4 linked regions of the Caenorhabditis elegans genome follow. The protein of the gene in region 3 purifies or fractionates together with the protein of the main gene of each other region. This does not show direct contact. Each region holds a gene or a part of one and is shown on either strand. Other genes may lie near its edges. The genes, in order: orc-3, orc-4, orc-5 and orc-2.

Evidence for each region.
Region 1: the proteins of orc-5 (region 3) and orc-3 purify together in Caenorhabditis elegans (affinity purification with mass spectrometry, with the first as the bait; one study listed by BioGRID). This does not show direct contact.
Region 2: the proteins of orc-5 (region 3) and orc-4 purify together in Caenorhabditis elegans (affinity purification with mass spectrometry, with the first as the bait; one study listed by BioGRID). This does not show direct contact.
Region 4: the proteins of orc-5 (region 3) and orc-2 purify together in Caenorhabditis elegans (affinity purification with mass spectrometry; one study listed by BioGRID). This does not show direct contact.

What each region holds. Positions count from the first base shown.
Region 1 is NC_003281.10:1,205,263-1,215,185, reverse strand, and holds orc-3 (ORC_WH_C domain-containing protein), read right to left. Parts: upstream 7,054-9,923; 5' UTR 7,047-7,053; coding exon 6,925-7,046; intron 6,805-6,924; coding exon 6,462-6,804; intron 6,000-6,461; coding exon 5,778-5,999; intron 5,293-5,777; coding exon 5,145-5,292; intron 4,290-5,144; coding exon 3,688-4,289; intron 2,601-3,687; coding exon 2,352-2,600; intron 1,740-2,351; coding exon 1,587-1,739; 3' UTR 1,536-1,586; downstream 1-1,535. Other genes in the region: Y119D3B.21 (Protein KRI1 homolog), read right to left, coding at 1-186; Y119D3B.12 (LUC7 related splicing factor homolog), read right to left, coding at 8,325-8,333, 9,437-9,849.
Region 2 is NC_003281.10:10,642,861-10,650,291, reverse strand, and holds orc-4 (ORC (Origin Recognition Complex) subunit), read right to left. Parts: upstream 4,123-7,431; 5' UTR 4,122-4,122; coding exon 4,024-4,121; intron 3,943-4,023; coding exon 3,878-3,942; intron 3,476-3,877; exon of another isoform or gene 3,475-3,475; coding exon 3,002-3,474; intron 2,675-3,001; coding exon 2,506-2,674; intron 2,115-2,505; coding exon 2,001-2,114; intron 1,776-2,000; coding exon 1,634-1,775; intron 1,582-1,633; coding exon 1,479-1,581; 3' UTR 1,431-1,478; downstream 1-1,430. Other genes in the region: emg-1 (Ribosomal RNA small subunit methyltransferase nep-1), read right to left, coding at 1-69, 407-773; orc-1 (Origin recognition complex subunit 1), read right to left, coding at 4,333-4,596, 4,875-5,484, 6,062-6,165, 6,226-7,158.
Region 3 is NC_003282.8:10,731,670-10,737,843, forward strand, and holds orc-5 (Origin recognition complex subunit 5 C-terminal domain-containing protein), read right to left. Parts: upstream 2,920-6,174; 5' UTR 2,910-2,919; coding exon 2,766-2,909; intron 2,689-2,765; coding exon 2,549-2,688; intron 2,507-2,548; coding exon 2,170-2,506; intron 2,125-2,169; coding exon 1,952-2,124; intron 1,886-1,951; coding exon 1,816-1,885; intron 1,769-1,815; coding exon 1,598-1,768; intron 1,536-1,597; coding exon 1,426-1,535; intron 1,280-1,425; coding exon 1,234-1,279; 3' UTR 1,163-1,233; downstream 1-1,162. Other genes in the region: cyb-1 (G2/mitotic-specific cyclin-B1), read left to right, coding at 3,787-3,846, 3,889-4,307, 4,387-4,773, 4,820-4,922, 4,967-5,083; grl-21 (Ground-like domain-containing protein), read left to right, coding at 5,824-6,159.
Region 4 is NC_003280.10:10,870,799-10,879,244, reverse strand, and holds orc-2 (Origin recognition complex subunit 2), read right to left. Parts: upstream 5,315-8,446; 5' UTR 5,312-5,314; coding exon 5,136-5,311; intron 4,502-5,135; coding exon 3,932-4,501; intron 3,877-3,931; coding exon 3,777-3,876; intron 3,018-3,776; coding exon 2,761-3,017; intron 2,224-2,760; coding exon 2,149-2,223; intron 2,046-2,148; coding exon 1,931-2,045; 3' UTR 1,311-1,930; downstream 1-1,310. Other genes in the region: copz-1 (putative coatomer subunit zeta), read right to left, coding at 5,554-5,704, 5,759-5,984, 6,035-6,122, 6,181-6,252, 6,316-6,333; cyn-4 (Peptidyl-prolyl cis-trans isomerase 4), read left to right, coding at 6,639-6,717, 6,773-6,893, 6,940-7,726, 7,783-8,161, 8,211-8,416.

The sequences.
Region 1 (9,923 bases), on a different chromosome or scaffold from region 3:
GGGGTATTCTTCTAAATCGTCTAAATCGCCACTATTGTACATGTCTTTGTCAAAGTAGAACCGATCCTTCTCCTCCAGCCCCTTCACATACTCCATCTCCTCCAAATCGTTGGGGTCGTACCGATCCTTCTCATCCACCTCCTCCACCTCGTCGGGGTCGTACACGTTGTCGTCGTTATCACTCATGAGGAACTGGGAGCAATTGGAATGAGTAGCTTGAAGAAACTGGGTTATGTCTGTAATGCTTCCTTGACTCTTTTTATACGCCGTCTTAAAGGGGCGGGACTGGAAAAGAGTGAATTGATAAGATAGCAAACGTCCTGGACGGAAAATAAGAGTGAGGGAGAGGGGATTATTTTGCTTGATTTAGTACTGAAAGTGGCGTGTAGGCGCCTGCAATTTTGAAAAAGAGTCAAAAACAATTGCAATCATGCTGAACTAAAATTAAAACCTGTGTGAATGAAGGGCGGGACTGGAAAAGAGTGAATTGATAAGATAGCAAACGTCATTGGCCGGAAAATAAGAGTGAGGAAGAAACTTGGGAAAATTTCGAAATATTTCGGTTTTTCGTGTTCGAAAATTTTCGAAATTCGAAATACAAACGAACAAAGTAAAATATTATTTTATGTTATAAATAGGGATTCCATCTCGGCGCCGCTGCGGCGCCTTCGCCGGCCGATGAGGCGCCTCAAACAGCCTCACGCCGCCACAAACGCCGCAACGTATCCGCATGTACAGTGCGGCGCGGAACCCAGAATGTGTCGACCGCTTCCTAATAACCACTTTTTGAATCACGTTGCGCAAAATAGAATTGCAAAACTACGGTATGCAGCCGTAAATCCTCCCTACGCATACACCGGAGCTCACGCCAATATGCACAGCGCGGCGACCGGCGACGGCGAAGGCCGGCCGGCGTGAGGCTGGCGTGAGGCGCCGTCGCCGCACCGCTCTCACATGGAAGCCCTAGTTATAAACAAAGGACAAAATCGTCAAAAAAACCATATTTGAAGTGCGCGCCTATTTTGTTTTCATATTATCAACAGAGCGAACAAGCAAAACCCAGCTGAAAACAAACAATTTTTGTTTTCGATAGCTCGAAAGACAGATTAGTCGAAGAGAAAACCCCAGTTGATGTTCGTGTTTTGGCGTCAGCGGAGGTGGAACTACTTTTTGATTCTGGCAATGATAGGACACACATGACCCTAGTTTGTTCTGGCATGATAATCAGATCCGAGCAAAATTCCCGATATTGTCACAAATTGCGAATCGATATTTGACGGCTCCAGCCTCTTCCGCAGAAAGCGAGCGAGTTTTCTCTGGAGCTGGTCGAGTTTCTACAAAATTGAGACAAAACATGAATACCATATCATTGAGTCAGTCTGTTTTTTTTTTCTTTTTTTACTCTTCCATTTCAATTTATGAGGGAAGCCAGAATTTCGTGTTTCAAATAACTGCGGAAACCCGAACGTGTCGGGCGCGCTCCAATTTTTGGCTCTTACGTCGAATTTCAGCTTCACAAAAAAAAACCCAAAAATAATCAATACACAAAATTCATTCGAAAATCTTCGCAAAAAAATAAAAATAGTTCAAATATCGGGAATAAACGAAATCGGATGGTACAGAACGTGAACATTTGTCGACTTTTTGTCGACGGCTCCACGAATGAGCCCAATGTGCTCGAGTTGGCCGGCGGCGGCGAAAAACGCGCCTTTCGCTGATTTTCGGCTCATTTGTTGTACCTGCAAGTTTGGAGGTTTTTAGATGGTTTTTAGGTGTGTCTGCCTGGGTAGGTAGGCAGGTAGGCAGGCAGGTAGGCGGGTAGTGAAGCAGGTAGGTAGATAATGTAACTAGGCAGGCAGTCAGGTGAATTGGTAGGCAGTAGGGCAGGAGATCAGGAAGGTAGGCTAGTAAGCAAGTAGGTAGATAAGCGGTTAGTGAGGCAGATAAGTAGGTAGGTAGGTAGGCAGGCAAATAGGCAATTGGGCAGGCAGGTGGGCAGGCTTGTAGGTCTGTAGACAAGCAGGGAAATAAGCACGCAGAAATAAAGGGCCGATAGGCAGGTAGGCACTCAAATAGGTCAGTAGGTAAAAAGGCAGGTAGGTATATAGGTAGGTAGGCATGTAACTAGCCAGGTAGGCGGGTGAATTGGTAGGCAGTAGGGCAGGAAGTAGATAGGTAGGCAGGCCAATAGGTAGGTAGATACGTAGGTGATTGAAGAGGTGGGCAGGCTTGTAGGCAGGAAATTAGGTAGGTAGGTAGGCAGGCAACTAGGTTTGTGGGCAAATAAGCAGGCAGGCAAGTAAGTAGGCAGGTAGGCAGGCAGGCGCGTAGGCAGACATCAAAAACCGTACATTTCTGAGAAAAAGCTCCGCCCACTCGGCCATCGGTACGGATTTGAAGTTGCGATGCGTCAGCAGGCACCTCCACGCGACGGAAATTGGCATTTTTTCGAATTTTTTCGCGTTGAGCATCGCATTTTCGATATCGTACTCGTCGGACGCGTCCAGTGACGTCTTCGTGACGTCATCGATCCAGAAATTGGCGCCGATGACGTTACGCCACGTGGAGGGGTACGGTTGAAGGGTGGTCTCGAAGAGATTCTGTAAAAAGGTTTTAAAACCTATTTTTGAAGGGTGGCCGAACTTTTTCATCCTGGGAAAAGTTCGGCCACCGGATAAAATTACTGTTTTTCATCGATTTTCGTTGATTTTCCAAGGTGGCCGAACTTTTGCGAACTTGAAAAGTTAGGCCACCTGGGAAATTGCTTGTTTTTTCTTGAAAATTGGTGAAAATTTCAGTGTTTAATGAATTTTCATTGATGGCCGAACTTTTGCAAACTTGAAAAGTTCGGCCACCAGTTGGATTCGCTGGTGGCCTAGCTGCAAAAGCAAATGTTTAGAATTTCCACATGTGGCCTAACTTTTCGAAAGGTTCGGCTACCACTCGAATGCTTCTTTACAAAGTGGCCTAGGTTTTCTTGCTAGCAAAAGTTCGGCCACCATCTGATAAACTGGGTTTTACCGATTTTTCATCGGTGGCCGAATTTTGGAAACTTGAGAAAGTTAGGCCACCAACTCTAAAATTACTGGGTTTCACGTGTCTTTTGATGACCGAACATTTACAGGAAGAGGAAAAGTTAGGCCATGACCTAGAAACTTTTTCACAGATGGCCGAACTTTTCCACCTTGCAAAAGTTCGGCCACCGACTGAAAACAGCCGATTTTTCGCGTTTTTTTCACTGAAACCCTCAGTTTTCCATCATTTTTCACTGATGGCCGAACTTTTCCACCTTGCAAAAGTTCGGCCATCTACAAAAATAGCCAATTTTTCGCGTTTTCTCATTGAAAATTTCAATTTTTCATCACTTTCCACTGGTGGCCTAACTTTTTGTTCTTGAAAAAGTTCGGCCACCGACTGAAAACAGTAAATTTTTCCCATTTTTCACTGAAACCCTCAGTTTTCCATCATTTTTCACAGATGGCCGAACTTTTCCACCTTGCAAAAGTTCGGCCACCGACTGAAAACAGCCGATTTTTCGCGTTTTTTTTCACTGAAACCCTCAGTTTTCCATCATTTTTCACAGATGGCCGAACTTTTCCACCTTGCAAAAGTTCGGCCACCAACTAAAATCGCCGGTTTTTCATCGATTTTCATTGTTTTTTGACCAATTTTCCTCAGTTTTCGTACCATAACATGCGAAAAAATCGCACTTTTCGCACTTCTCAGTGGGTTCTGCTGCTTGGCCGTCATAGCCGATCGGCGCTGCTTCTGCATCTCCAGGAAGCTCATTTTTTGTGTCGTTGTTATCGATTTTTCCGGCGAAATTTCCGACTTTTCTGGGTTTTGCTCAGCGGAGATCAGATTTTCGCGTAGATTTTCCAATTTTTCACAGAATTTTGGGTCAATTGGAGTGATTTTTGCCAAAAATCGACGCAAAAATGAGTGCAAATTGGTGGAATTTCCGTCAAAAATCGCAGATTTTCGTTCTTGAAATATCGATTCGTGGCGAATTTTCGTCCAAAAATCGCCGCCATCCGACTGAATTTCCACGTGGCATCGCAGATTTTCAGCCAATTTTTCGTCGATTTCGGCCGGATTTTCACCAAATTCTTCGAGAAACACACGGAGCACACGGTCGTATTTTTGGAGCTCTGCGTCGTGAGCATCTTCTCGCCAGAGGGGATCCTCGAGATATTTCTGAAGAAGAGCCAATTGGATGGCACGAGAGAGTGCAGAAATCGAGTAGTCGCAGGCGAAAAATCGATTTTTTAGGTATTTCATGAAGGGTCCTGCAAGTAGAAAATTTGAGAAAAATCGATAAAAAATTGATTTTTTTTTTCTGGTGGCCGAACTTTTGCAACTTGTGAAAAGTTCGGCCACGTGTGAAAAATCGTTTAAATCGATAAATTCGGTGAAAAATCGATATTTTCAACAGGTGGCCGAACTTTTCATCACTTGCAAAACTTCGGCCATTAGCTAAAACATCAATTTTAATGATTTTCGGCGATTTTTCTTTTTTTTTTTTGCAGATTTTTCACAGGTGGCCGAACTTTTTCAGCTGATGAAAAGTTCGGCCACCTGTTAAAAACATCGATTTTTACTGATTTTGGCGATTTTTCATTGGTGGCCGAACTTTTGCAGAATGGGAAAAGTTCGGCCACCTGTTAAAATATCGATTTTTCAATAATTTTCATCGATTTTAATGCTTTGAGGCGATTTTTCACTAATTTTAGTCGATTTTAGTGCTTTGATTTTTCACTGGTGGCCGAATTTTTTCAGAATGTGAAAAGTTCGGCCACCCGCTGAAAATTCGGTTTTTCACTGATTTTTATCGATTTTAATACTTTTATGCGGTTTCTCACTGGTGGCCGAACTTTTCCAACTGATGAAAAGTTCGGCCACGTGCTGAAAACTCGATTTTGTACTAATTTTCATCGATTTAGACGATTTTTAACAGGTGGCCGAACTTTTGCAGGTGGTGAAAAGTTCGGCCACCAGTTAGAAATATTGATTTTTACTGATATTCATCGATTTTAATGCTTTTAGGCGATTTTTCCCTGGTGGCCGAACTTTTGCAACCTGTAAAAACCTCGGCCACCACTTTTTTTTGGGCGGGAAATTCAAATTTTCCACACATTGTTTACCTGAAAAAACGGCCGGAGCGCAGTCAAAATTGTTGAGCAGTGCCGGATCGTCTTCTTCAATATTTTTTGGCGGTGGGCGGGGCGGCAAGAAGTGGGCGTGGCAACCGGTAGCAATTATTTTTGAAAAAATGTCGTCGAGTTTGGTGAACTGGAAAAAAATTGGCGGTTTTTGGGAGATTTTTTCCGAAAATTTTTGAATTTTCAAGCGGTGGCCGAACTTTTCATCACCTGCAAAAGTTCGGCCACCTGTAAAAAATCTTCAAAATCGATAAATTCGGTAAGAAATCGAGTTTTTAGCAGGTGGCCGAACTTTTGCATTTCGTGAAAAGTTCGGCCACCTGCTAAGATTTTTTAAAAAATAAATTTTTATAGATTTTTAAAATAATTTTCATCGATTTGGACGATTTTTCACTGGTGGCCGAACTTTTGCAGTTGATAAAAAGTTAGGCCACCACTATTTTTTCAGCGGGAATTCAAAATTTTTGCAGTTTTTACACGAAAAAATCGAAAAATTTGAATTTTCCTTGATTTTCTCCAACTTTTCCGAGTTTATTCTTCAATTTTCAAGCGATGGCCTAACTTTTCTACACTGTGCAAAAGTTAGGCCATGGCCGAAAAGTAGTCGAAAATCACCCTAAAATGCGTCAAATCCATCAAATTTGCCGTCTCAAGTCCGCAATTTTGCGTAAAAAACGCTGGTGACGTCGAGACACACGTCATCAGTTTGATACGTGGAATTAGACGGCGACACGTGGAATTTGAGAAGAGAAGAGAGACGAGAGACGCAAAGAAATTGGGACGGAGAGATTCGAATTGACGAATTATGATGACGTGGCATGTTGTTGAGGACGTGTTCTGAAAAATTTGAAATTTTTTAAAAATATGGTGCGTTGCGGTCGCGTCGCGGTCTGGAAAATTTGAATTTTTTAAAAATTTCGATGCGTTGCGGTCGCGTCGCGGTTCGGAAATTTGCCTTTTTTTCGTTTAAAAATCGATAGTTTTTGGGAAAATTTGAATTTTCCTGAATTTTAGGTGCGTAGCAGTCGCGTCGCGGTTTGGAAATTTGGTGTTTTTCGTTAAAAAATCGATAATTTTCCGGAAATTTTGAATTTTAAATAAATTTGGATGCGTTGCGGTCGCGTCGCGGTTGACGGAAAATCGATTTTCTCGACTTTTTTTTTTTGAATTTCAGGTGCGTTGCGGTCTGGAAATTGGTGTTTTTTTCCGGAAAAATCGATTTTTCCTGGTTGTCGAGCAAGTTCAAAACCAAAAAAAAAATCGAAATTCGTCATGCGTTGCGGTCGCGGTCGCGGCTACCTTCTCCAAAATCCGATCAATAATCTCGTGAATCGCGTCGTTCTCCGTCACCAAGTGATCCCTGACTTCCAGATTTTCCGTGGATTTTTCCAGTAATTTCTGCCGAAAATCACCAATCAACCGGGAAATATCCGTAAAATTACACTGAACCAGAGCACATTTTAACGTCCCAATCGGCTCATTCGGCGAAAAAACCGAAATTCCCTTCGTTTTCGACGATTTTCCGGGTTTTTTAAGGATCCAAGTGGCGATTTCGTTGGTTGCCGTGTCGTAGATGCTCGCCGTGGTGTGAGCCATTTTTTCGTCGAATCTCGTGACGTCATCGACGAAATTTTTGAAAAATCTGGAAAAAAAACCGTTTTTAGTGAAAAATTACGTTTTTTTTCAGTTTACAGTTTACTTCAAATTCAAACTTAATAGTGTAAATTAACAATTTTCAGTTGAAATTTGTTTAAAAACCCACCTCCTCTCCTGTTCCATTGAGCAAAACTCAAAATCCTCGGGAAACTCGATTGCCTCGTTGATTTCCGCCTTTCCTAGCTTTAATTTCTTGTTTCCGCGGTGAAAAGTGATGCCGGGCGTCATTTTTTGACTGAAAATTGGCAAAAATTGATGGGAAATGGCTGAAAATCGACGAAAAACCCATTCAAATTCGAATTCCGCGCCCAGAAAAAACTGAAATTGTACAGTGGAGCGCGCTTGCATTATTGCATTTTTAGGTGAATTGTACCGATTTTACCGAAAAACAGAGGTTTTCCGTGTGAATTTTGGGTTTTTTCAGGTAAAATTGTTGAAAAAAGACGTAAAATTTTATGAGAACTGCGTTTTAAACCCCTTTTCTTGTAAAAAACCGGAAAATTTCGTTGAAAAATCGATTTTTGCGGCAAATTTCTTAAAAAATCGAAAAAATGCTTCAAATCTTCAATTTTCGCCCGCGAAAATCGTCGAAATATCAGAAAAAATGCAATAAATTCGAATTTTTAACACAAAAAGCGCTAAAAATTCAAAAATTTCATCGAAAAATTGATTTTTGCGGCAAATTTCTCCAAAAATCAAAAAATGCCTCAAATTTCCAATTTTTGCCCTCAAACCTTGGAATATCGCAAAAATAAGCATTTTTTCGAATTTTCCACAAAAAAACCGCTAAAAATCCAAAAATTTGGCCAAAAAATCGATTTTGGGGCCAAATTTTTTCAAACTTCGAAAAATGCCTTAAATTTTAAGTTTTTGCCAGCGAAAATCGTCGAAATATTGAAAAAATTCGCGTAAATTCAAAATTTTCACATGAAAACCACTGAAATTTCAAAAATTTTGTCGAAAAATCGATTTTTCTCTCAAAATCCTCATTTTTTCGCGAAAATCTTTTTAAAAACCTAAAAAAAATTATTTTTTTTATTTTCGAAAAATCAATTTTATTCCAATTCACAGACCAAAAAGATTCTACAGAGAGATAAATAATAAAAAATCAATTTAAAAAAATCGATAATTAGCAGGTGAAAACGTGTGGGCGGCTCGGTGTAGATAGAGAAATCTGAAAAAAATCAATAATTTTTCCCGAAAAATCGATAATTTTGGGTCGATGATAGTCAACTAACTGATCAACACACACTGACAAAATTTCATAGATCGGCGAACAAGATTCCGGGGATACAGAAACCTGAAAAGGGGGCGGGGCCGAGCGAAAATTGGGCTTAAAACGGCCTATTTTCAGGCCCAAAAAATCTGAAAATCTGTAATTAGAGGGGCGGTCCACTCACCTGCGAATCGCTGAAGGAAACGTACTTTTGGTGGGGAGCTAACAAGAGAAGATTGTGCAAAAATTTGGAGAATTTTGGGTCCCGGCACGACGGCGGCGGCGGCGGTCTAGTGGCGCTGAAAATTATCGATTTTCGAAGAGAAATTTCGGGAATTTATCGATTTTCTGGTATAAAATGTGGAAATTTATTGATTTTTTACAGGAAAAATGTGAAAATTGTTAATTTTCCAGCCAAAAATCGAGATTTTTTCCCGAAAAATTTGAAAATTATTGAGATTTTAGTGAAAAAGCCGAAAAACATCGATTTTCGAAGAGAAATTTTGGGTTTTTTATCGATTTTTTACAGGAAAAATTAGAAAGTCAGTGATTTTTTAGTTAAAAATTAGAAAATTATCGATTTTTCAGTTAGAAAAGCCAAAAATTTTCGATTTTTACAAAGTCTTGTTCGAAATTTATCGATTTTCCAGTGAAAAATCAAAAGATTATCGCTTTTTCTAAAAAAATCCCCAAAATTTATCGATTTCCACTTGAAAATCGGTATTTTATCGATTTTTCAGGGAAAAAAGCAAAAAATATCGATTTTTGCAGGTAAATCTTCAAAATTATGCAATTTTCAGTCAAATTCCATGGTTTTCATAAATTTTAACTGAAAATTCTGGTTTTGCGGTCATTTTTCGCGAATTTTCAGTTAGGCTCCATGTTTTTCATGAATTTTGGCTGAAAATTCTGAATTTCCGGTTACTTTTCGCGAATTTTCAAATCAAATTCCATTTTTTGGCTCAAAATTCTAATTTTTATGTCATTTTTCGCTGATTTTCAGCCAAATTCCACTTTTTTCATGAATTTTGGCCGAAAATTCTGATTTTCAGCCAAAATCCCGTGAATTTACGGAATTTTGACCGATAATTCTGATTTTTGGGTAAATTTCAGCGAATTTTCAGCCAAATTCTGTGTTTTGGCTGAAAATTCTAATTTTTCGGTCATTTTTTGGCGATTTTTCAGCCAAATTTCATGGTTTTCATGAATTTTGGCTGAAAATTCTGATTTTTAGGTCATTTTTCGCGAATTTTCAGTCAAATTCCATTTTTGGCCGAAAATTCTGAATTTTCAGGTTATTTTTCGCGGATTTCCAGCCAAATTCCGTGTTTTTGGATGAAAATTCCGGTTTTCCGGGTAATTTTTCACGAATTTTCAGTCAGTTTTCAGGAGAAAACCGTACTTTTCGCTCTCTATCGGATCTTTCCGATCTTTCTGATCTTTCTGATCTCTCCGATCGATGCCGATCATCTCTCCGGTGCTCTTTGTGCTCTCTGTGCTCTCTGTGCTCTCCACGATGATCCCGGTGCCGATGATCTCTATGATCCCGGCTGCTCCGATGACTGTGATGGTGCTGCTCCGTAGATCGTTTCCGATCCGCGCCTCGATCCGTAGATCGGCTTCTCGAACGTTTTCGCTTCATCTCAGCCTTCTGCTGACTCGTCTGCATTTCCAGTTCGATTGTTTTAATTGTATCGGAGATTTGTTGGTAGGCAATGTGCAATTTTCCGGTTAAATGATCGTCGACACGCTGTGGAGCATCGTTTTGGAGCATGAAACAGCCGCAGATTTGACACACTTGCATTTGCCGGTTTCCTGGAAGATTTTTGAGTGAAAATAGTGGAAAAATGGGCTGAAAATCGTATTTTTCGAGTGAATTTAGTGGAAAA
Region 2 (7,431 bases), on a different chromosome or scaffold from region 3:
TCTTCACTACTGACATCAGCTTTTGAGTGGTTTCGGCGGCTCGAATGGAGAGTTTGTGCAGGAGTTGGACTGAAAATATGGAAAATAGAAAATAGGGGGATTTTGCATAAAAATACCTAATTGCAAGAAAAGTCACAAAAAATCCAATAAAAAGTATTTTAAAGCATGTTTTTGAAAATTGGATTTTTGTGCTCTTTTTTGTGAATTTTTTTTTGATTTTCAGACTATTTTGGGGTATTTTGAATCCGGGTATTTTTAAAAGGAAAAGGGTATTTTTAAAAATTTATGTTTAAATTTGATAAAAAATAATTTTTAAAAAACTCGAAAAATTGTCTTTTTTCTTATTTTACATACAAAAACACTTCAAAATATATTTTTTTCAATTTCCAATAAACCAAAAACTCACCCATAAGTCCACAGAATCGATCAAAAGTTCTTGGAATTCTGCACTGTGGTGAGACATCAACGAGCACATTCTTGCTCGTTCTAAAGAAGACACGAAGCTTTCCGGCTCTGTTAAGCGGACTATCAAGTAGATTCAACAAGCATTGATGTAGGATATCTGGCCGATAATCAGCCGGATCTTTTTTCTGTTTTCTCAGAAAATTCGCGTGTTTATCACTGCTCAAAATTGCGTATTCTCCACCGACTTTTGCAGTTTCAAGACTACATCCTTCCAGTACAACGTACAAAATCTTCTTGTCCTCCAATTGATTATCCGTCTTCATGCGCTTCGCATTTGGCGGTGCAACTGTATCGTACTCGTGGGACATCTGAAATTCGGAGAAATTAATTTTTTTTGTCATAAAGTAATTTTTTTAGGACCAAAAATCGAATTTTCAATAATTCTGATGAAAAAAAAATTATTTTCTGAATAATATTGTGATTTTTTATAGTTTAGCACAAATTTTAAATAAAAGCTGTGGGAACAACGATAGGTCGTTCTGTAAAATTTTCGAAAAAATGCCGCTTTTTTGGAAATAAAATTGAGTTTTTCGACTTTTGGAAAAATTTCTAATTTTCCATATCTATCAATATAGGAATATACATAATTTTTGATAAATTAAAAGTTTTCACTTCTTTTTTCGTTTTTCGATATTTTTTCGTCAAAAACACTGAAAAATTTCTGCGGAGAAAATGTAAGTCGAAAATCAAAAAACTCAAAAACTCAAAAACGAAAAAATTTGTAAATTTGAACGGTTTTTCAAAAATTTCAGTGAGTTCCTTTTTTTGTCGAATTTCCCCTAAAACATGAAAATTTAACTAAATATTTTATTTCGGGATTTTTGAATTAACGAAAAATGGTTTTATTTTATTTTTTCGATTTTTGAAGCTCCTGTAAAGATTTTTATAAAACAAGTTCAAAAAATAATATGATGGTTTTTAAACCGAAAATAATTCTCACAGAAAAAAAAACTCAACAAAAATATAAATATCGAGATCAATCTTCATTGCAAATAGTACAAAAAATATCAAAATTACTTCAAAATAGTCATAAAAAAGTCGGAAACAACTCGCGGGAGCTGCAACTTCGAGATCGAGTCCTCCACAATTTTATCATTGATATGAAGCCAAACTTTTCTGAAAAAAAAGAGGATTTGAGGTGAATTTTTCAGCTGAAAAAAAAACCCACCGAAACGAGGTATTTGTCACATTTGTGCTCTCGTCTGCCTTCAAAATTCCCATTTTAACGAGATGATCCAATTCTCGGAATACGTAGACATCACTGCTCACGTTCAGTGGAGGATAGTGTTGATTAACGAGTTTTTTGAATTCTGAAATTACGGAGAAAATAGATTTTTAAAAAATAAGCTTAAAATTTTCATGTTTTTTCTCATCAATATAATCGAAAATTAGATTTAAAAAAAATCATATTTTATGGTTAATTTTCTGAACATTTTCTTAATTTTTCGGAAATTCAAAAAATCGAAAAATTTTTCGTTTTTCAATTTTTAAAAATTCGAAAAATCGAAAATTCCGAGATAAATTTTAAAAAATACCTAGAAAAACGTTTCGATACGAAGTTTTTGGCGCCAAAAGTGGTCCATCTGACTCTTTATTCTGCACAAGTCTCCAGACACAAAGAAAAACGCATTGTGCTCGAACTGTTTGATCTGAAAATTTGAAAAATTTTTAGAATTTCACTGGAATTATTAAATTTTTGAGCCGAAAAAACAGTATATAATTAGTTTTTTCTAGATTTTACCGGATTTTTTTAATTTTTCAGAAAAATTTCAAAAGCTGTAAAGATTAAAATAGGTTTTGATTGAAAATCACGATTTTTGCATGATTTTTTACATTTTAAAGTTGTTTAAAATTTGAAATTTGTTCCGAAAAAAAAAGGTAAAAAATTACTTTATCAGCTCAATTTCCAGATTTGAAATCAGAATTTTTAATTCTTTGCGGAATTTCAAAAAGTGAACTTGAATTGTTCATTTTTTGTTTTCAAAATTAGAAAATCGTGGGTTTTTTCTGCCTTTTTCAAAGTTTTAGCAGAATTTCTACCTTTTAAAATCAACAATTTTCCATTATACGAGGGAGAAGTCGTCTCGACAATTTTACGAATCTGTTTGCTGATTTCCTCGGGTTTCCACGTGTCTTCTACGTCACAATAGTAACCGAAAAGCATCAGGAATTGCGCGGCCAATTGTTTCAGAACGACGTAGTGACTTGTCTGAGAATATGGACTTTAATGGGGGTTGAAAAGCCGAAAAATATGATTTTATTTGTTTTATTTTCATTTTTGGAATGAAAATGTTATCCAATTTAATTATCGTAAGATTGTACGGATATCTCATGCTAAATTGGCTATAAAATCATGAAATACCCTCGCATTTTATGAGAATTAAATTGGATAACATTTTCTTTCTAAAAAGAAAATAAAAAAAAACAACTACAATTTTTGATGAAAAAAATCAAAAAAAAAGGTGGAAAATTTGAGTTTTTTCAGCTTTTTCGTGAAATTTTCAGCTTTTAAGAATGCTTCTTCACCAAATCTCACCTCAAAAACCGGCCTAAGCCATGTCTGAAAGTTCAAATTCTTCACAAATCTCTTATAGCACTCGGATTCTTCGCATTTTGAGCCGCCAGGAATCAAAAACTGCGTCAACGCTGCACAATACTCCTCATAATCGTGTGTCGCGTCAAATGACACCTGAATTTTCGGAATTCTCGACGTCGCCTGTTTCTGAAGGTTCTGAGCGAAATCGTGTCGGGAAACGGAGAAAAAGACGAGCCACGAGAAGTGTGTCGCCTTGTCAACCATCGTGTAGAGGAACTTTTGCTGCTGTGGAGTGATTAATTTGTCGGCGTCTCGCACTAAAAACACAAAATATCCTTCGTCATCCTCCTTTGCGAGTTCCTGCTGATAATTTGGATCGGCGGCAACGAAGCCTGCGTTGATTACTCGTAATTCCTTGTGATATTTGTTGAGAACCTTCCGAAGTGTGCTTTCTCGGCCGCAATTTCGTTCTCCTGCAATGAAAATCGATAAAAAATTGTTGAAAATTCAATATTTAAATGGAGAAAACTGCGAAATTTTGTATAATTTTGAGTACATTAGATGACGTTTCAATAAGGAAAATGAGCAAATTAACAACTTTATTTTTAAAAAATCAACAAAAAACCGTGCCGCACTGTCATAATGGGCTCAAAAGACCGAAAATTAAGAGATTTCTCGCAAAAATCTAAAATTTTAGGCAAATTTTAAGCCGGAAAATGAGCCGAAATATGCATTAAACTATATTAAATTATTAAAAACTATGTTCGAGCTGAAGCCAAAAGATAAATTAGGAGAAATACCAGATTTACCAAGATTCCGCTTTTTTTCGAACTTTTTCGGTCGTTAGAGCAGATTTTGAGGCGACAATAAATTTACCTTCAAGAAGAGCACATTTTCCATCTTTCGACTGCAGAAAATCATAGACAATATTCTCGATTTGCCTGAAAATAGATAAAATATTTGGGAAAATCACAAATTTTCAATAGCAAGTCCAGTGGGGCGCGCTTGCATCAGGCACTCACCTCTCTTGTTCCGTTAGTCCGAAGACCTGATCGTCGAGCAAATCAAGAGCTCGCCGAGCATTTTCCGCTACAATTTCTTGATCGGAAGGTGATAGCATTCTGGGAAATGTTTAACAAATTATTTTGATAAAAATTTAGAAGAAAAAGTATAAAAAACAGGTGGAAAACTGCTTGGTGATTGAAATGACTCCGGTAAAGTCACAGCAAACTCAAAGTCCATATTTTATTTTAATTGGAATTTTAATGCAAAATAAGTCAAAAAAGAATCTAAATAGAACGTCCTTGGAGGATAACACATAAATATAAAATTTAAATTGAATAAATCGATTTATTCTTCTCAATCGCCGCTTTGATCGCCTTTTCAGCTTCCATCGACGTCATTCCCAGCTTCACACGTCGATTCATCATTCCGTGATCTCCTTTCGACAGATTTATCAATGAAGTGCTCGCCAGTTGAAGGAGCATTCCGTAGGCGAAGCTATCGGTGGCCGGGCCGATTCCAGAGACTTCTGAGCAGATTATGCAGTAGTTTTTGTAGATGTTTGCGAAGATGATCTCCTCTTGTTCGCGGGTCTACAAAATATTCAATTTTAGGAAATGTTCAAATTTCAGAACAGTTCAAGGTTTTTTGCACAAATTTTAAATGATTTCCTTACTAGTTTTTTCTGAGAAAATTTAAAAAAACTGGAAAAAAGTATGGAAAAATGTGGTGATTTTTTGTATAAAATAGAGAAATGAGTGGAAATTATTGAAAAACTTGGAATTTTTTCTTTGCACACTAACTTTGCTCCGAAAATTAGTAAAAATTCTAAAAAGCGATTTTCTTTCTACAAATTCAAATTAGCCTTAACCATAGATTCAATTGTCCGGAACAATGTGAATTGATGAAGCCTTAATCCCTTTACAAGACGATATTTAAGAGGTTCCAGCACCGCATTCTGAGCAGCAATCACATGCGACAACTCGAGCTTTTCCGATTTTCTCTCTACTGCAACACGAATCGCTCGACACAGAAAATCGAGAGCCTGCCGTAAGTCTCCAGTGTTCATAGCGACCTTCTTGGCGACAAGTTCAACAGCTTTCGGATCAATTAAATTGGATCCTTGGAGCCTCGCACGCACAATTTCCTCGATTTGCTCGTGTTGATAAGGCTGGAATACGAGGCGACGTTTGTCAAGTCGACTAGCATTCCGTTGGCAAAGCATTCGTTCCGGGAAGTCCAAAGTGTTGGCAATACCGATAATAGTGACTTTAGATTGTGGAAGTGCTGTCCATTCAAAGATATCATAGAGAACATCTTGTTTTCTATTGCACAGACTATCCAGTTCATCGATTAGCACAACAATTGGCGGTCTTTTCGGATCTTCTCGCTTGAAAATTGAGTTGAGCTCTTGGCGAGCAGCGGTAGCTGTGATTTTTGCTCTTTGAGGCTTTTTCGAGATGTTGTACTCTTCTTGGATGCTGAAAAATATTGAAAATTTCAGTATTTTTGCGTACAAAAACGATTATTTTACAAAAAAACCGATTTTTTAGGGTTTTGAAGAGAAAAACCCCAAAATTTTCAGATTTTTGAGGTTTTTCTAACATCCTATCGGGAAAATGTTCAAGGTTTCACGAAATTCACTACTTTAGATCATTTTCATAAAGTAAAAACTAGCAGAACCCACTGAAATTCGTTTTTTTATCGACATTTTAAAGTTACTTTTTTGCGTTTTTTTATAATTTTAAGTCGAAATTTTTTTAAAGCAAGGAAAATACGTCTTTTTAAGCAGTTTTTTGACAGTTTTCAGCATAATATTTTCTTTAAAAACTTGCGATTAAGCTGAAAACTGTCTAAAAATGCTCAAATTGATCCATTTCCAAGCTTTAAAACAAAAAATTCCCCGTTAACTTATGAAAAAACTCAGAAATTAGCCAACAATTTTCGAAAAATTCGAATTTCGGAGGATTCCGCGCAAAATTTTGAGCATTTTCCAATGAGTTCTGCAGTTGTTAGATGGAAATTGTTCGATTTTCAACTTTTCCGAGACGTCCTTACCCGTTGTAAATCTCTACGAATACAGTTTTTTTGAAGATCATCGCATTGACCTCGACGTACACGAATTTCTGACACTTTTTGCTCTTTTTCATCGAGTTGACGACCTGAAAAATAGAATTTGAAAACCAGAAATTTGGAAAAATAATTTAAAAATTAAGTTTTACCGCTCGAACAGTGGCTGTCTTCCCTGTGCCTGGAACTCCACTAATATACATTGCAGAGCTCTCGCCACGTTTTGGATCAATAACTTCTCGAATGAATTTCTCAATTTCTCGAGACTCAATATCTCGGCATGGGAGCTTCTCGGGCACCTTTGAGAGATGAAGCCTGCTCGCCAGCTCTTTCAGAGTTGAAGCCGATCGGGAATCCAGTGGATCCACAAGATCTTCGAGTTCTTCACTGTTCTGGCGTGCCCTTCTACGGGTTCTCAGTGTTCCACCTGGCGTTTTGCTGATCACTAGTGGAGTTACTTTCTGGGTTATCATTTTTGAAGGGATCTTTATTGTGATTGGTGTTCTTTTGTTAGTTTTCGAATAGAATTTCTCGTCAATTTCATCGCTGAAATCATCTTCATCGTCATCATCTTCTTCTTGAAATACTCGAGCTTTATTTGTTTTCCTTGAAATCTCAACTTTTCGAGGTGATTTACTCTCTTTGAATAGAGTTTTTGAAGTGGAAACTTTCGACACTGAAGCTTTACTTAATTCCCGAGCAAGCCTCTTCGATGGAGTCTCTTCAAGCCTTGTCGGAGTCCTGCTTCTTGTAACTCTTCTATTTTCTTTATCACTGCAGCTATCTTCTTCTGAGAAATTCTCGCCGATTTCATCGGAAAAATCGATTTCCATTTGATTATCGTGATCTACGGCTTTCAGCTCGTCTTTTGTCGCGGCGTACTCATCTTCTCCATCAGAATCTGAAGATGATGAGGACGAAGAAGAATCCGATTTATATGTGCATTGTGGAGCTCCTCTGAGGCGAACGGAGCTTCGCTTTACGATTTTAGGAGCTGATTTCGGGAGATTAGTGATTCTTGTCGATCTCCGCTTGACTGGAGTGGCGGATACAGTCTTTGACGTTTCAGATTTGCGAGTATTCATTGTGAGAAGCTGAAGGAACGATATTTTTATAATAAAAATCGACAAAAACCAGAGAATAATGATGAAAATGCGCGAAATCGAGGAGAACGCTTTCGAATTCAAAAGTGGCGCTCTCTGCGTACACGACGGTGTTTGCACACATTGCATACCGTACCACCCGGGAATGTCTACGTCTCTTCGTCTCACACAGTCTCTCGTTCTAAATTTTTTGGATTTTTTAATTTTTAATAAAAATTTTCAAAAATAAATTCTTCTCAGCATTTTTTAGGTAAA
Region 3 (6,174 bases):
TTGTGCTTGTACACTCGGTTCCCAATCACATTTCGGTTTCTCGGAAAGTTTGAAAAAACGGCGTCATTATCCCTAGAATCAGCAAAATTGGGGGAAATAACAGCTTCCCGGTCTTTTATTTTTCAGATTTAATCCAAATCATAGTGCAGAGCTCGATGAGCACACTTAAAAACAGCATGAAGCCACTTTGGTGTACCTGCTTTTGGTATTTGCAGAAGCTGCAACACATCTGTTGACATCATTAATTGAAATTAGCTGAAAATTGAAAAGAGCAGACACATCAACAGCTGTGCATGCGCTGTCAGTCATTAAAGTTTTAAATGCTTCAGTGGAAAATGGGAAGAAAATTGAACCGAAATAGATAGCAAAAAAGGTTATTATAGATGATGTGAACCGGCTGAAGTTCACCAGCTGCTCATCAAAAAAAAAACTTCTGCAAATTCTGTTGTAAAAACGTCATAAGGGCACAAAAAAGAGAGCTTGCACTCAATTTCTATAGTTCTGAAATTATTGAAAATTCCAAATTCAGGTGAAATTTTCAGATTATATTAGTTTACTCAGTTGTTCCAGCGTGATCAAAAATAATTACGATTTTTGTCAGAAATGACTAATAACGTATATTTTTAGTCTAAGGAACTGACCGATCTTCTACTATTACTATTAAATGTCATGAAGGTCAGGTGGAAATCATTAGAAACCTATTATTTTTAAGTCAACTTTTACTTTTCTACTAGAAACATACATAACAGGGACTACAAAACGTGAGCAGGTGGAATCATTTGAGATGTTCAGTGAGCAAATGTAGCAGGATGAAATTGCACTTTTGGAGTTTTCTTTTCTTAAAAAATCATTCAATATTTCACCAAAACTTTCGCACGGGAACATTTTTTAACACGGGAAATTTCTTGATCTTTGTAAAACCTTATTAGTTGCGATTTGTTATTAACTTAACTCGATGATGCAATATGGGAGTCGAAAATAATGAACGTGAGAACTTAAATCAGTTTGTGTCTACTATTTTCAGATTATGATCCTGTTTTCTTTTGCTATGTAATTTCTTTTTGTTGTGATATTCGAATAAATTTTTCTTTCGAATCAAAAACCCACGTCAATGATTATTTAGCTGTACGGTATTGAATGTGGGATCTCGTATAAAATAACTAAGTAATCATGTAATTTATTTCATAGTTGGTGAGAAGAAAGTGAGATAATTGTACCCGGCAGTTGAAATTTTCAGGTGGCGTGTTCAAGATAATTCCGCAGCTCCAAATTGAGTGACCTGCAAAAATAAAAATTGCACGAAAAAAAAGACTACATAATCGAGTTTGTTTATTTCGTTATTGTTTTCTCAAACAAAACAGTAAAAATATATGACAGGGTATTTTTTATTTTTCAATATCAGTCCTATTTTATTTCCTTTTTTACCTGGATATTTTGAGAGCGCTCTCCAACGAAATTAGACACTTGATCTTCGGAATATCGAGATTGCTTCGATTTGTTACTGACACGAGCCCCATTGAATCGAGAGATGCGATCTGGAACCTTTGGATGAGAAATTTTTCTAGGCGAAATGAAGAGAATGTATAGTGCAACATACAACACTTTTGAGATCAAATCCTGTAATAGTCGATTCATTGATTTTGAGAAGCGTTTCGTAAATACAAATTATTCTTTGAAGATCTGCAGCTTTTGGACCGAGATCTTTGGCAAGTCGATTTTCTTCTAAACGCAGCTCTTTCTTTTCTGATCTCTTTTCTCGGCCGTGGTTCTGAAAAAAACGGAAAATTATTATTTCTGGAATAAATTATGTGCAACCTTTACGAAAAATCGGCAGTCTGATTGATGAGGATTATTGCTGGCACAGTATGCGGCTATGAGAAGATATCTGAAATAAAAATTTACTGGAATTTCTGGAAGAACTACATATTTTCTGTTGAGTATTTTTAGATACCTCATGGCGAGCGGCATGGCATCAAAACTGTTCTCGTTCTCCTTGGCCAGATTCTCTCCGACAACATTCCCGAGCTTTTCTCCAGATGATCTATTGAGGCATTCTTTTGCCAGTGTAGAGTCGAATTTATCGCCGGTTCTCCGCTCATCATACATTAGCCACGCATCAGATATCTGGAATTGTAGTGATGGATTTAACATTGTTTTTAAAAAACTTACAATTGATAGAAGAATATTCGGTGACTTGCAGGCCATGAACAGTGACTGGCAAGCAACGTGAAGAAATTGCGCGTTGATTTTTGGATTTGCACGAGAAATAAGAACTTTGGTAGTTTCTACTGATGGTGCAGGTATGTGAAACTCTACAACTGGAAGATGGCTCAGATTAATGTGATATTGGTTCAAGCAGGATGGTGCACTCGTCACAAATCGAATCGTTATTTCTTGTATAGCTTTGTAAGAATCGAATAAGCATTGTAATGGAACAGGAGGATAGTCTGTTATCGCTTGTGCATTATCAAGAAAAATGACAATTTTTCTATTAGTTTCGTCTGGCCTGAAAATATTTAAAATTTAATTAACAAGAAAATACACTTACCATTGGACATATTTATACAGGTTATCGCAAAAATTCTCAGCTCTGTCACCTCTAGTCTTGAAACCTAAACTCGATGCCAGTGAATCGAATAACAATTTCAGCGATCCATCCGCATAGAGGAAGTCTCCAAGCACACAAACCTATAAAAATAGATTGTGAATTTTGAAATTGTTTGAAATTTTTAATTGTTTTGAAATTGAAGTTGTAAAACACGAACCCAATCGTTTTCAGGTTTTCTCAGAAGTTGACGAACAATTTCACTTCTTCCGCTTCCATCTTCTCCGAAAATGTGGACATGAGAAATAATTCGCGAGTTGTTAAATAAGAGCATTTTTAGACGTCTTATCTCACAATTTTCCATTTTGCTAAAAATAAAAAACTATGATATGGATAAAATGACTGATTTTTCAGCCTTGAAATAAAAACAAAAAAAACTTTCTTCCAGTAAAAACTGTTTTCAAGTTGGCGGGTATTCAATGGAGCAGGTTTACTTGGCTAAACTAAGCGCGATGCGAAATAACGGAGTGTCGTATTGCAGCGCGAACCTTGAAAATAAAATCATTTGCTCTTGAAACTTTGCGATTATTAAAGTTTTGATCGGATCTCCCTCAATTTTTCGGCGCCAAGAATTTATTTTTTGCAAAAACCTTCAATGGAACGATTATTTTCCAACGCAGGTTTCCCTATTTGAATCTTTGCCACATAGACCGGTTCATTTTATTCATTATTCGATTCTTGAACAAAAACAATCTTTTTTTCTTTGGCTTATCGTTATCAAATACCTAACTTTGGAGCTTTATTAATATTCTAGGTTCATTTGTAATTCATCTTTTAACGTCTGTTCTTCATTCATCCTAGGTGACATATTTAATCGATATTACCCTTCGCGATTCCCCCCTCCTACCACCAAGCACCATCTTGGTGTGGGGGAGTTGCGCTCCGTTGGACAATCGCTGCACGCGGAACATTCGAATCCCATTTGTCGATATTCTTGTATTTAGTGCAAACAATTCTTAATAGGCTCCTCACGTGACCTTAACATGTTCGCCGTGTAGAAACTATTTACACGTTGTGTTCTATTTAGATAAAATCATAACCTTTCTGTCAGATTTTGTAAAACGTCCAGTATTTCTCAACTTACCAATTTTCTACTAGCAATCAAAGGTTCTTTCTCACTTTTTATTTTATTATCTCTTGGAACTTGCAAACAATCGTTTATTGCAGCGAAAGGCCTCAATATGCTAAGAGCCACCAACAACAGACGAACATCGAATAATGTGGAAAAGGATAGCCTCCAGGTACAAGGTGTTTACAAACTAAAAACTATAATTATCATTCAGATGGCTAAGCACGGAAACGGACCATTGAAGCCCGTCAATGCGCAAGGTCTTCAGACGAAAAGAGAAGCTCGAGAGATTCTTGCACTCAAGCCATCCAATCCAGCTCCAGTCGAAACTGCGCAAAAGTCACAGAGAATCAACCTCCAGGATGCTGAGACTAAATGTCTTGCTATGGCCGACGACATATACAAGTATCTCGTTCATCACGAGAAAAAGTATCTTCTTGAGGAGTGCTTCATGGAGGGAGGAGAGCCCACTCCCAAGATGCGTCGCATTCTCGTCGATTGGCTTGTCCAAGTTCATGTTCGATTCCATCTCACACCTGAGACACTTCACTTGACTGTCTTCATTCTGGATCGCATGCTTCAGAAGAAGGTCACCTCCAAGGCGGATCTTCAGCTTCTTGGAATTTCAGCTATGTGAGAGTTTTTATTCAATTTTAAAACGTAACATATAGGGATTACTAATTGTGTATCCTTTAAAAATGTTTTGTTTCAGGTTCGTTGCCTCCAAGTTCGAAGAGGTTTACCTCCCAGACATCCACGACTACGAGTTCATCACTGAGAACACATACAGCAAGAAGCAGATCTTGGCAATGGAGCAAACAATCCTTAACTCGTTGAACTTTGACTTGTCCTGCCCATCTTCGCTTGTCTTCCTCCGCTGTCTCTCAAGAATTCTCTCCGAAAACGATGCCAGCCCAATCGATAATCAAGCTTTCTGTTATACTTACAATATCTCCAAGTGTCTCGGAGAGCTCGCACTGCTCGATTCGGTTATGGCCTCGACCCCAAGGTCCCACATTGCTTCTGCTTCGATGATCATCGCTCTTGAAGTTCATCCTGTTGACGGAATCGAGGCGGAGAATGCTGTATCGGTCATTTGGTACATTTTAAAGCTTATATTTTTATTTTAATATCAACATTTTTAGCAAACAGCTCGGAGCCTCTAAGAAAGTCATTGAGGATGCTGTCGCTTTGCTCGCCGAAGTCTCGTATAAGAACTTCAAACAGGGGAAGCTTGTCGCTATTAAGGTATTGAATCATCGAAGTATTCCAATAAACATAATTATTTGCAGAATAAGTATCAATCAAGCAAGCTTGCACAAGTTTCCAACTTGATGACCGACGACGTACTCGAGAAAATCAATCGGATGGGCCAGAATGCAAAAGTGGACGCATCAGAAATGGAATGAGCACTTCGATCCGAAATAAACATTTTGTACCATTCAGTCTTTCTTGATTCTTATGTTTCTTCCTTCATTGCTTTTCTTTTCGGCTCCTTTCCATTTTTTAACTCCTCCAGTCGTTTCCACGTCAATCTGGTCACACCCGTACATTGATTGTAAATTGGTGAACATTCGTTGAGCGACCATACACCACCTCCCATATTATTCAATTTGTCCATTTTGAAATTTAAAATTTCACTAAAAATTTTTATCACAACTTTTCGCGCCCTCTTTTGTATCGATCTCGTATTTAATTATTGAAACCACACTGCTGTAAGACTCACCGTCCTCATCTCTGTTGTTGTAACTAGAAGGACCAAAAACTTTCTGATGAAACCTATGTGCTATTAAATTTTGTTAAATGGAATTACTATAAATCATGTACTAAATAAGTGATGGAGTAGTCTGAAGGTTCTAGGGGGTCTCCTGCGCAATGACGCGACGAACTTAAACCAGTCAACAAGCATAAAAACAAGTAGGCTCCACCCACTTTAACCTTGAATTCTGTGTGCCGAACCCGGGGTCAAGTGGCTTTTCGGCCAATTACTCATCGGTTTGTTACAGCACTGGCGGTCACTTCTCGCCGAATTTTCTCAAAATGTGTAATAATGAAGCTGCAATTTCTCTGCGTATCAATCTCTAACGCTCTGCTGTAATGACTACAAAAGTGACCATCGAAAACGAGAATTTCATACATTCCACTCGAAATGGTTCATTCATCAGTTCTAATTGTTCTTTCACTGACTGCTTCTTCATCTGCATTCCTTCTAGAAGGACTCGGTTTAGGATTAGGTCCACAAAGACCTCAACAATGCTGCTGTCCACCACCTCCACCACCTCCACCATGCGGAGGCGGATATGAAGCTCCACCTCCACCACCACCACCATCATATGCGGGTGGACCATCATACGCTGGACCATCTTATGCTGGATCCTACGGACCAGGACCATACAGAGCCAAGTCAAAGAGATCAGTTGACATGAAAGCTTCAAGTGGAGATTTGTTCTGTAATAGTGTTGAAGTTAGAGATATTATCAAGAAGGTATTGCATTTGAAA
Region 4 (8,446 bases), on a different chromosome or scaffold from region 3:
GATCGGAGATTTCTTTTTCAGCGCGTGTTTTTGGACTATTAGCGAAGGCCTGGGCTTCCGGTTTCTGTGAACCAAAAATCAGAAAAAAATAATTGTCAGGACTGTTAAAAGAGACATAACACTGTAAAAATTGAACTTTTGGTCGACAATCGGGGAATTGAAGGGTCTCACCACGAAAAATTGAATTTAGAAAATAATAAGACTATAACAAATTTGCTTCAACTTCCGACTAGATTGAGAAAGCCTTTCGGAACTTTTCGCTTCAAGACCCATCCTGATAGATTCATGGCTCTTTTATACCATTTGCGCGTGACGGTTTTGGATTAAAATATGATGAGGGGTCGAACAGGAACTCACGTGCTCATGTAAAGGTGGAGCAGCGCCAGCGGGGATTTTTTGTCCAAACTCATTTTTAATAAGCAAGTACAATTTAGAACTTTTAGAGCAATTTCGAACGCCCACACGTGGGTTAATACAAATATTTGAAAGCTTTATTAAAGTACGAAACTTTGTAGAAAAAAGTTTTTTTTTTCAGTTTCTGCCAAAACGAAGAGAGAAAGTTGAAAAGTACAAGTGCAAAGAAATTCAAAATTCATAGAAGAATGACACAAAAACTGACACTTATATAGAGGGTTCTCTGACAATTTTTGATCTTGACCATTTTTGATGTCTACGCGTAAACGCGCTCTAAGGCCAACGGAACGATCCGCCCCAGTAGGATGGGTCTCGTTAGGTAATATTAGGAAAACCGGGAATTCGAAATTCGAATGTTTAAATCATTTTTCGACGATTTTTTAAATATGTTTTACATTGGTTTTAGTAATTTTTATATGGGTCTTGATGTTTTAAAAATTCATATGAAGTTTTTGAATTTTATTATATCAATATTGGCATAAAAACCATTGAAACAACGGAAAATATAATAAAAAATAAACGAGACTATTAGGAAAAGTTTGAATTCCCGGTTTTCTCGCCAAACACCTAACGAGACCCATGGTTCCGGGGCGGGGCATTTCCAATTGGCCGTGGAGCGCGTTCTGCGTCCCCATAATATTGAGATCCAGTTCCTGTAGAGTTCGAAATTCTCTTGTTCCTGAGAGCGATAATATGAAAAAAAAACAAAAAAAAGTTTAAAAATGCTCATCGCATTCAAATATTCAAAGTCCTTCTCGTCCTTGTTGCCTAAATACTGATTGACTTGAGTCAGCAAGCAAAAAAAAAGAGAAAAGGAACATGATATACTGCTCTTCTGAGCCTAGTGGGCCGGAAGTGCTCATCGTTAATCTCTGCGAGCTTCTATGGAGACATTTTTGACAGAAAAAAGTGACACAAAAACTTCCAAGACACACAAAAATTTTGTCATTTCAAAAAGCTTCTATCAAAAAAGTTAGGGGAGAATGTGCGAGGAAAATCCGAATTTTCCAATTAAAAAAGCTAGAACAAAGGCACCTGTGAGCCCATTTTTGGGGGGAAGGCGAGCAGGAAAGAGTATCATATTACTACATCCATGAAACTCTAGGGAGAGGATTTGGTTTTTGATGGTGAGAGAGGGAAAACTTGGAAAATGAGATTCATTCAAATATGGGAATGTGAAACTGATAGTGAGAAACTGAAAATAATTGAGAAATCGTGAAGAAAAAACCGAGGGGGAAATGAGATTTTTGAAAAGGTACACAAAATTGGTATTACGGTAGATAAAGGTTTCAATTGATATATTTGAAAATGAAAATTATTGCCTTAAATATGAGCGTTCAGATGAGAGTAAGTGAAGATTGAGGTTTCAATTGAAGTAAAAAAAAATGGGATGAAGAAGCATCGACGGACGGACGGGGGGCGCAGAGTCAACAAATAAAACAATTGAAGGTAAATACATTGAGTCAAAAGGAGGCAGAGTGTGTTCATTTTTGAGGTCCTCCAGCAGTAGCAGCAGCTACTCGTCTTTCTTTTCGTCTAACGGCATGTTCTTCGATTCGAGAAATTCGGTCACTAATCGTAATTCGACAATGCCCGACAGCTGATCGTTTCCGTCATCACCACGGGTCCACCTGGAGAAATTTTGGAATTGAAATTGAAATATTTGAATAAGCAAACGACATCTGGTTGGAAGATGAGAATTTATCTATTTGGGGGGGGGGGGGGGATACTCACTTCAAAACCCGATGATCCTTGAATTCGACAAGTTGGGTTCGAAGAGCAGCGTCAGTTGAAGCAATGAAATCATCTCTGGAATTTTTAGGATTTTTTAAATCGAAAAACAAAAAAAATTATTTCAAAAAATTACCAATTTTGAAGTTTTTTCAGATTTTTTTCGGTTTTTTTGAACGAAAATTAGTGTTTTTGGGTTTTTTTTTCAAATTTTTTGGTTGTGCACAAAAAAAACCGAAAATCGAAAAATATTTCGGGGCATCCTTTGTGCAAGCTTGCAGGTTTTTCGGTTTGGCCTTTAAAAAATTGAAAAATCGAAAAAAATTAGATTTTTTTGTCGGTATTTTCAATTAAAAAAATTTCCCGCTCTGCCCAAAACCAAAAACATCAAAAATAATTAGTTTTTCAGTTTTTTTTGCTCAAAAACTCTAAAAATCAAAGTTTTTTAAAGGTTGCTATTATTTATGATTTTTTCGGTTTTTTAAACAAAGTTTCCGTTTTTTGGTTATGCTTAAAAAAGGGGAAAAATCGAATTTTTTTTTCAAATATTCCCAGTTTTGAATTTTTTGCTTTAAGAAAACTGAAAAATCGAAAAAATTTATTTTTTCCACTCACTTTGCCGCATTGAACAAATCCCAGAATTTGACAGGCTTCTTGGTGTCAAAGTACATTTGGAAAAAGAGACGGAATAATTTTTGTGAATTGACGGCAAGAGATTTCCAGAACACATCAAGCGATGACATTGTATGAGAGGATTGATTCGAACGAGCATCAAGACCAAGAAGACGAGAATCTCCAGTCATTAATTCTTGAAGTGGAATTTCGAAGGTGTTGATTGTGATGTGAACGAATGAGAGTGATGATAGTTGACGCTGAAATAAAAAAAGATAAATAACTGGAAATAACTTTTCTAATTTTTAAAATATTTTTGAACCTCTGGAATATTCAAATACAAATTATAAAAACACATTTAGAATAGAAAAATTACAATTTTTTTTGTTACATTTCTAAAATTATACCATGCCTTTATGAATAAAAAGTTTTTAATTCAAAATTATTTCAAAAAAGTTTATAATAAATATTTTTCATTTTAGAACCATATTTTTGGCATTAATAAAAATGTTTTTTAAGAATGTTTGTTTTTTCTAATTTTTCTTGTTTTTTTTTAAAGTAGAAAAAATTTGTTTGATTTTTCCGGAAAAATTGAGAATTTCAAAAGAAAATTGACTAAACATTTTTACAATATATTTTATTTTATTTGAAAGCTATTTTTCGGAAAATCTAAAAAAAAATCTAAAAATCGTTATTTTCAAAAATTTAATGTTTTTAGTGGGTTATAATTCGAGTAAATGCCATCAACTGTAGCGATTTTTTTAAAATTTTTTTGCCATAAATTTGACTGTTTTTCAAAATTGTTTTTTTTTCGATTTTTTGCCGTTTTCAGATTAAATATTAATTCGATTTTTTTAAGATTTTCTTATTTTCTCTTATTTTTCTCTCTGTCAAATTTTTATTATATTTATGAACAAAAAACATACTAAAATATATAAATTTCTACAGAAAAAAATAATTTTAAATAACAAAAAAATATAATTTTCTGTTTTTCGAAAATTAAAATTTTAGATACCCACCGAATTCCAGATGAACGTCGAGTAAATGTGATCAACTGTAGCAATCAATTTCACCGAATCCCGATTCTCAAGAAGTTCGCAAAATGCTTCTTGATCACTTCTGAAATTAATTAAAATTAATTTTTTATACATAAATAAAAGCGAATTCCCCTCACCTCCAATCAGGAGCTTCAATATTATCAATGATAAGAATCAACTGTTGGCTATTCATTTTTCTGCGAATAGATCGAGCCCAACTAATCGTAGATTGGCCTCTCTTCACATTACAATTCAGCTTCATATTCTCATTGATAGCTCCAAGAAGAACTTTTACATTGAGCCCATCTTTCCGTGCATCCACTCTCATATATGTATAATCGGATAGCTCATTCTCAAATTCTGTGAGAACATCACGCTTCGAACCGACACCGTGCAAAAGAATATTAAATCCAGCTGCTAGGTAAAGCTTCCATTTTCCGAAATCATTATCCGCGAGATGCTCCAATCGTTTTTCGAATTCCGTGTTATCTTTTTTGGTAATATAATTTCGAAGTCCAGGGAGATCACATTTTGTGAAATCAGTGATAGCATTACTGATCTCATCGTCTTCCTCAATTTCTTCAGTATTTCCATTTCCAGCACGTCTTCCACGACGGGATTTCGCATTATTCATTCGTTCTGACGCCGATTTTCCTTGCATAAAGTAATTTTCGATTGCTGATTGAGCCATTGATACAGTTTCATCCCTGGAAAAATGATTGATTTGCTTCGAAAATGTACTTATTTTTAGCTAGATGGAAGATTTTCTAATTTTTGCGCCAAAATTCCCGGTCTCGGCACGACAATTTTTTTTGAATTACAAACGGGTGTGCGCCTTTAAAGAGTACTGTAGTTTCAAACTGTGGAATTTTTATCGATTGTTCGTTAAAATTCATGCGCTTTTAATTATCCTAGTTTTTTGTTTATTTAAAAAAAATTTTAACAAAAAACAATGAAAAATCGATGGAAATTCCGCAACGAAATTTTGGCCTACCATTATTAAAGGCGCACCGAATCATTCAGATGAGTCTCGGCGCGCGAAAAACTTTTAAATTTTATGGTAGTTTTTTACTTTCATTTTTCAAGAAATTACTCCGTTTTTTGTATTTAGTTCTCCTTCTATTATTCTATTAAAAAACCGGAAAAATTTAAAGAAAAAGAAAATACTACGATACTGTTTTCCGCGCAGAGACCCGCCTGAATAGATCTGTGCGCCTTTAAGAACACATATTGTGATAATACAGCACTCCTTATAGACGCACCCCCGTTTTGTTTTCAACAAAAATTGCCGTGTCGAGACCCGGTTTTGCTCAAGAATTCATCTGGATAATAGATACATACTCGAAGCCCAGTTGTTCCAAATCTTCTTCTAAATTTGATTGCAAATTTCTAGAAGCATTCTCTTTTCCATTCGTCTTTTTCTGTCTGGATCCTTCTTTTTCTGGAGTCGATTTTTTCACAGGAACGGCGGCACTGGGCTGGACAGTTGCTCGTTTCAAAATTTTTGGCCGTGGCATTTTCTGAAATTAAAATTGAAAAATAGATATTTAGATTCATGCAGGAAATGTTAAGCTTTAAACTGAAAATATAGTTAGGCGTTAAGAAAACGAACCAAAAACTCAACAAAAACAGCACAAAATCAACAATTTTTACAATGAAAACACCATTTTATCCGAGGTTTATTCATTTTAATTCACAAAAGAGTATTGGAGAGATTATAAATATCACATTTTAAATTAAATAATTTATAGAATTCCATTTACTTGAGAAGAGACCATTTGAACTGCTCGTTGGCAGATTTCATGAACGAGAAGCCGATTTGTGATACGGATTGATCGGAGAATGAGACTTCGTCGGATTTGAGAGCGGTTCTTTGGACGACAGCCTGGGCGTCAGTTTCCATGATAATTCTGTAATAATTATTTTAAATCAGTTGAATACTTTTAGAAATAAAAAAAAATAACCCTTCATCACAGATTTCGTCAATAATCAGCATGATAGTGTCCATGGAATCGATGAGAGCCTTCTTCTCGACGTTTTTGCGAAGAACGACAGACACAGCATCGTAGAGACAGGTGAGAGTTGCGTCGAGGAAAAGCTCATTCTCGCGGGTCGATCCGAGCACGTAGAAGTACAGATCAACGTTCGAGCGGTACAAGCAAGTCACTCCGTCGAGAAGCAGGATATCGGCTTAAAATGTTTAATTTTTATTGTTTTCATCAAAAAAAAATCAGCCAAACCTGAAGTGTTGCGGGAAGTTTTCGAGAAGAGACTTTTCTCGAAAGCTTTTTGCTCCTTGACAGTTCCAAAGGTTGTACGGTCGTAGTACTGAAAATCGATATTTTTTCGAGTTTTTTGTATGGTAATTGTGAAATAAACGACAAACCTTGGCAAGAACACGGTTTCCATCCTGATCAAGAATCACAATTCCTTTGATACTGTACAGAGAAGTTGGATTCTGAAATTTCGCTTTTTAGTTAAAAAAAAAAAACTTCAATAATAAGCTGCAAATGAAACTTACAGTGTCAAAGTCTGCCATCTTATTGCAAATCCTCTCTTTTGCTAATATTACCTATAAAATTAAAAATTTATCTCTGAAAAACAATTTAAATGGAGGAAAAACATTGAGAAACAAGATAATCCACGTCAATAGTCAATGAAATTGAGCGCGTAAATCGACATGTGATCGTGGCGAGACCCGAGGTGGCTGGCGGCCGCCGGCCTAGGTTTTCGTGTAGATTTACGAGCCGATTTGTTTTCGCAATTTTTAACAATCGGCATTTTAATTAAGCTTAATAACTACATAAATGTAACTAGTATTTATTTGTATTATTTTCAGATAAAATGGGAAAAAAGCAACATCAGAAAGATAAACTCTATCTGACCACTTCTGAATGGAAATCGATTGGAGGACATAAAGATGGTTTTTATTTAAACACGAGTTATAAATAAAAACAAGATTTAATTTCATATTTCAGATACTGGAACAAGACTCCAAAGAGCACAGTTCAAAAGGTTACCCATCAACCATTGCTCGCTGTCACTTCTACCGTTTGAAGACCCAGTTTGCGCAAGATCAGGAGAAATTTTCGATTTAACGTAAATTTCTGTTTATTTTTTTTACTTTTTATTAAAAAATTTTCAGTGCTATCGTTCCTTACTTGAAGAAGCATGGCAAAAACCCGTGTACAGGAAAACCGTTGGTTGCCAAGGATCTAATCCACTTGAAATTCGATAAAGGAGAAGATGGAAAGTTCCGATGCCCAGTTACATTCAGAACATTCACGGACCACAGTCATATTCTGGCCATCGCTACTTCCGGAAACGTCTATTCTCATGAAGCCGTGCAAGAATTGAATTTAAAAAGAAATCATCTCAAGGATCTTCTAACCGATGTTCCGTTCACAAGAGCTGATATAATTGATCTTCAAGACCCAAATCATTTGGAAAAATTCAATATGGAGCAGTTTCTACACGTGAAGCTTGATTTAAAGACGTCAGAAGAGATTAAAAAAGAAAAAGATGCAATGAAAGATCCAAAATTCTACATTCGACGAATGAATAATGCTTGCAAATCAGTTCTTGATCAATTGGATAAGGAATATGTCCCAAAGAAGAGCTCCACAGAAACTGATGAAACTGCCGATGAGATCAATGCAGCACATTATAGTCAAGGAAAAGTCGCAGCTGGATTCACATCCACTGTAATGGCTCCAGTTACAAGCAATAAAGCAGCTGTTTTGGATAATGATACAGTTCGGTACAGCCGAGTTAAGAAAAATGCTTTTGTGCGGCTTGTTACAAATTTTGGGCCATTGAATCTGGAATTATTCGCGCCGAAAGTTCCGAAGGCCTGTGAAAACTTCATCACACATTGTTCGAATGGATATTATAATAACACCAAATTTCATCGGTTAATTAAAAACTTTATGGTAAATTTATTATAAAAATAGTTAAAGTTATAACAAAAAATAATTAAAAATTTCAGCTGCAAGGAGGCGACCCAACTGGTACAGGACATGGTGGAGAATCAATTTGGGATAAGCCATTCTCAGATGAATTCATCTCCGGTTTCTCCCATGATGCTCGAGGTGTGCTCTCGATGGCTAATAAGGGCTCTAACACCAACGGATCACAATTCTTCATTACATTCCGGCCGTGCAAGTATTTGGACAGAAAGCACACAATTTTTGGGAGACTTGTTGGAGGACAGGATACACTAACGACGATTGAAAAGTTGGAAACTGAAGAGGGAACTGATGTTCCGATGGTTTCAGTTGTTATTATGAGAGCTGAAGTATTTGTGGATCCATTTGAAGAAGCTGAGAAAGAAGTTCAAGCTGAGAGAGCAGAGATTTTGAAGAAAAGTTTCTTAATTCTATTACTAATTTTAAAACTAATGATATCTATTTTCAGCTTCTAAGGACGCAGCTTCATTAGCAAATAAAAAAGCTAAAGAAACTGCAACAAAACCAGAAGCAGTTGGAACTGGAGTCGGCAAGTACATGAAGTCGGCCGCAGCTGTGAATAAACGACAAGGAAAAATGGAAGATGTACCCTTGGAGGCCGCAAAGAAAACTAAATTTGCAAGAGCAGGCCTTGGAGATTTCTCAAAGTGGTGATGAAGACCCTCTCTTTTTTTTTAAATTTAA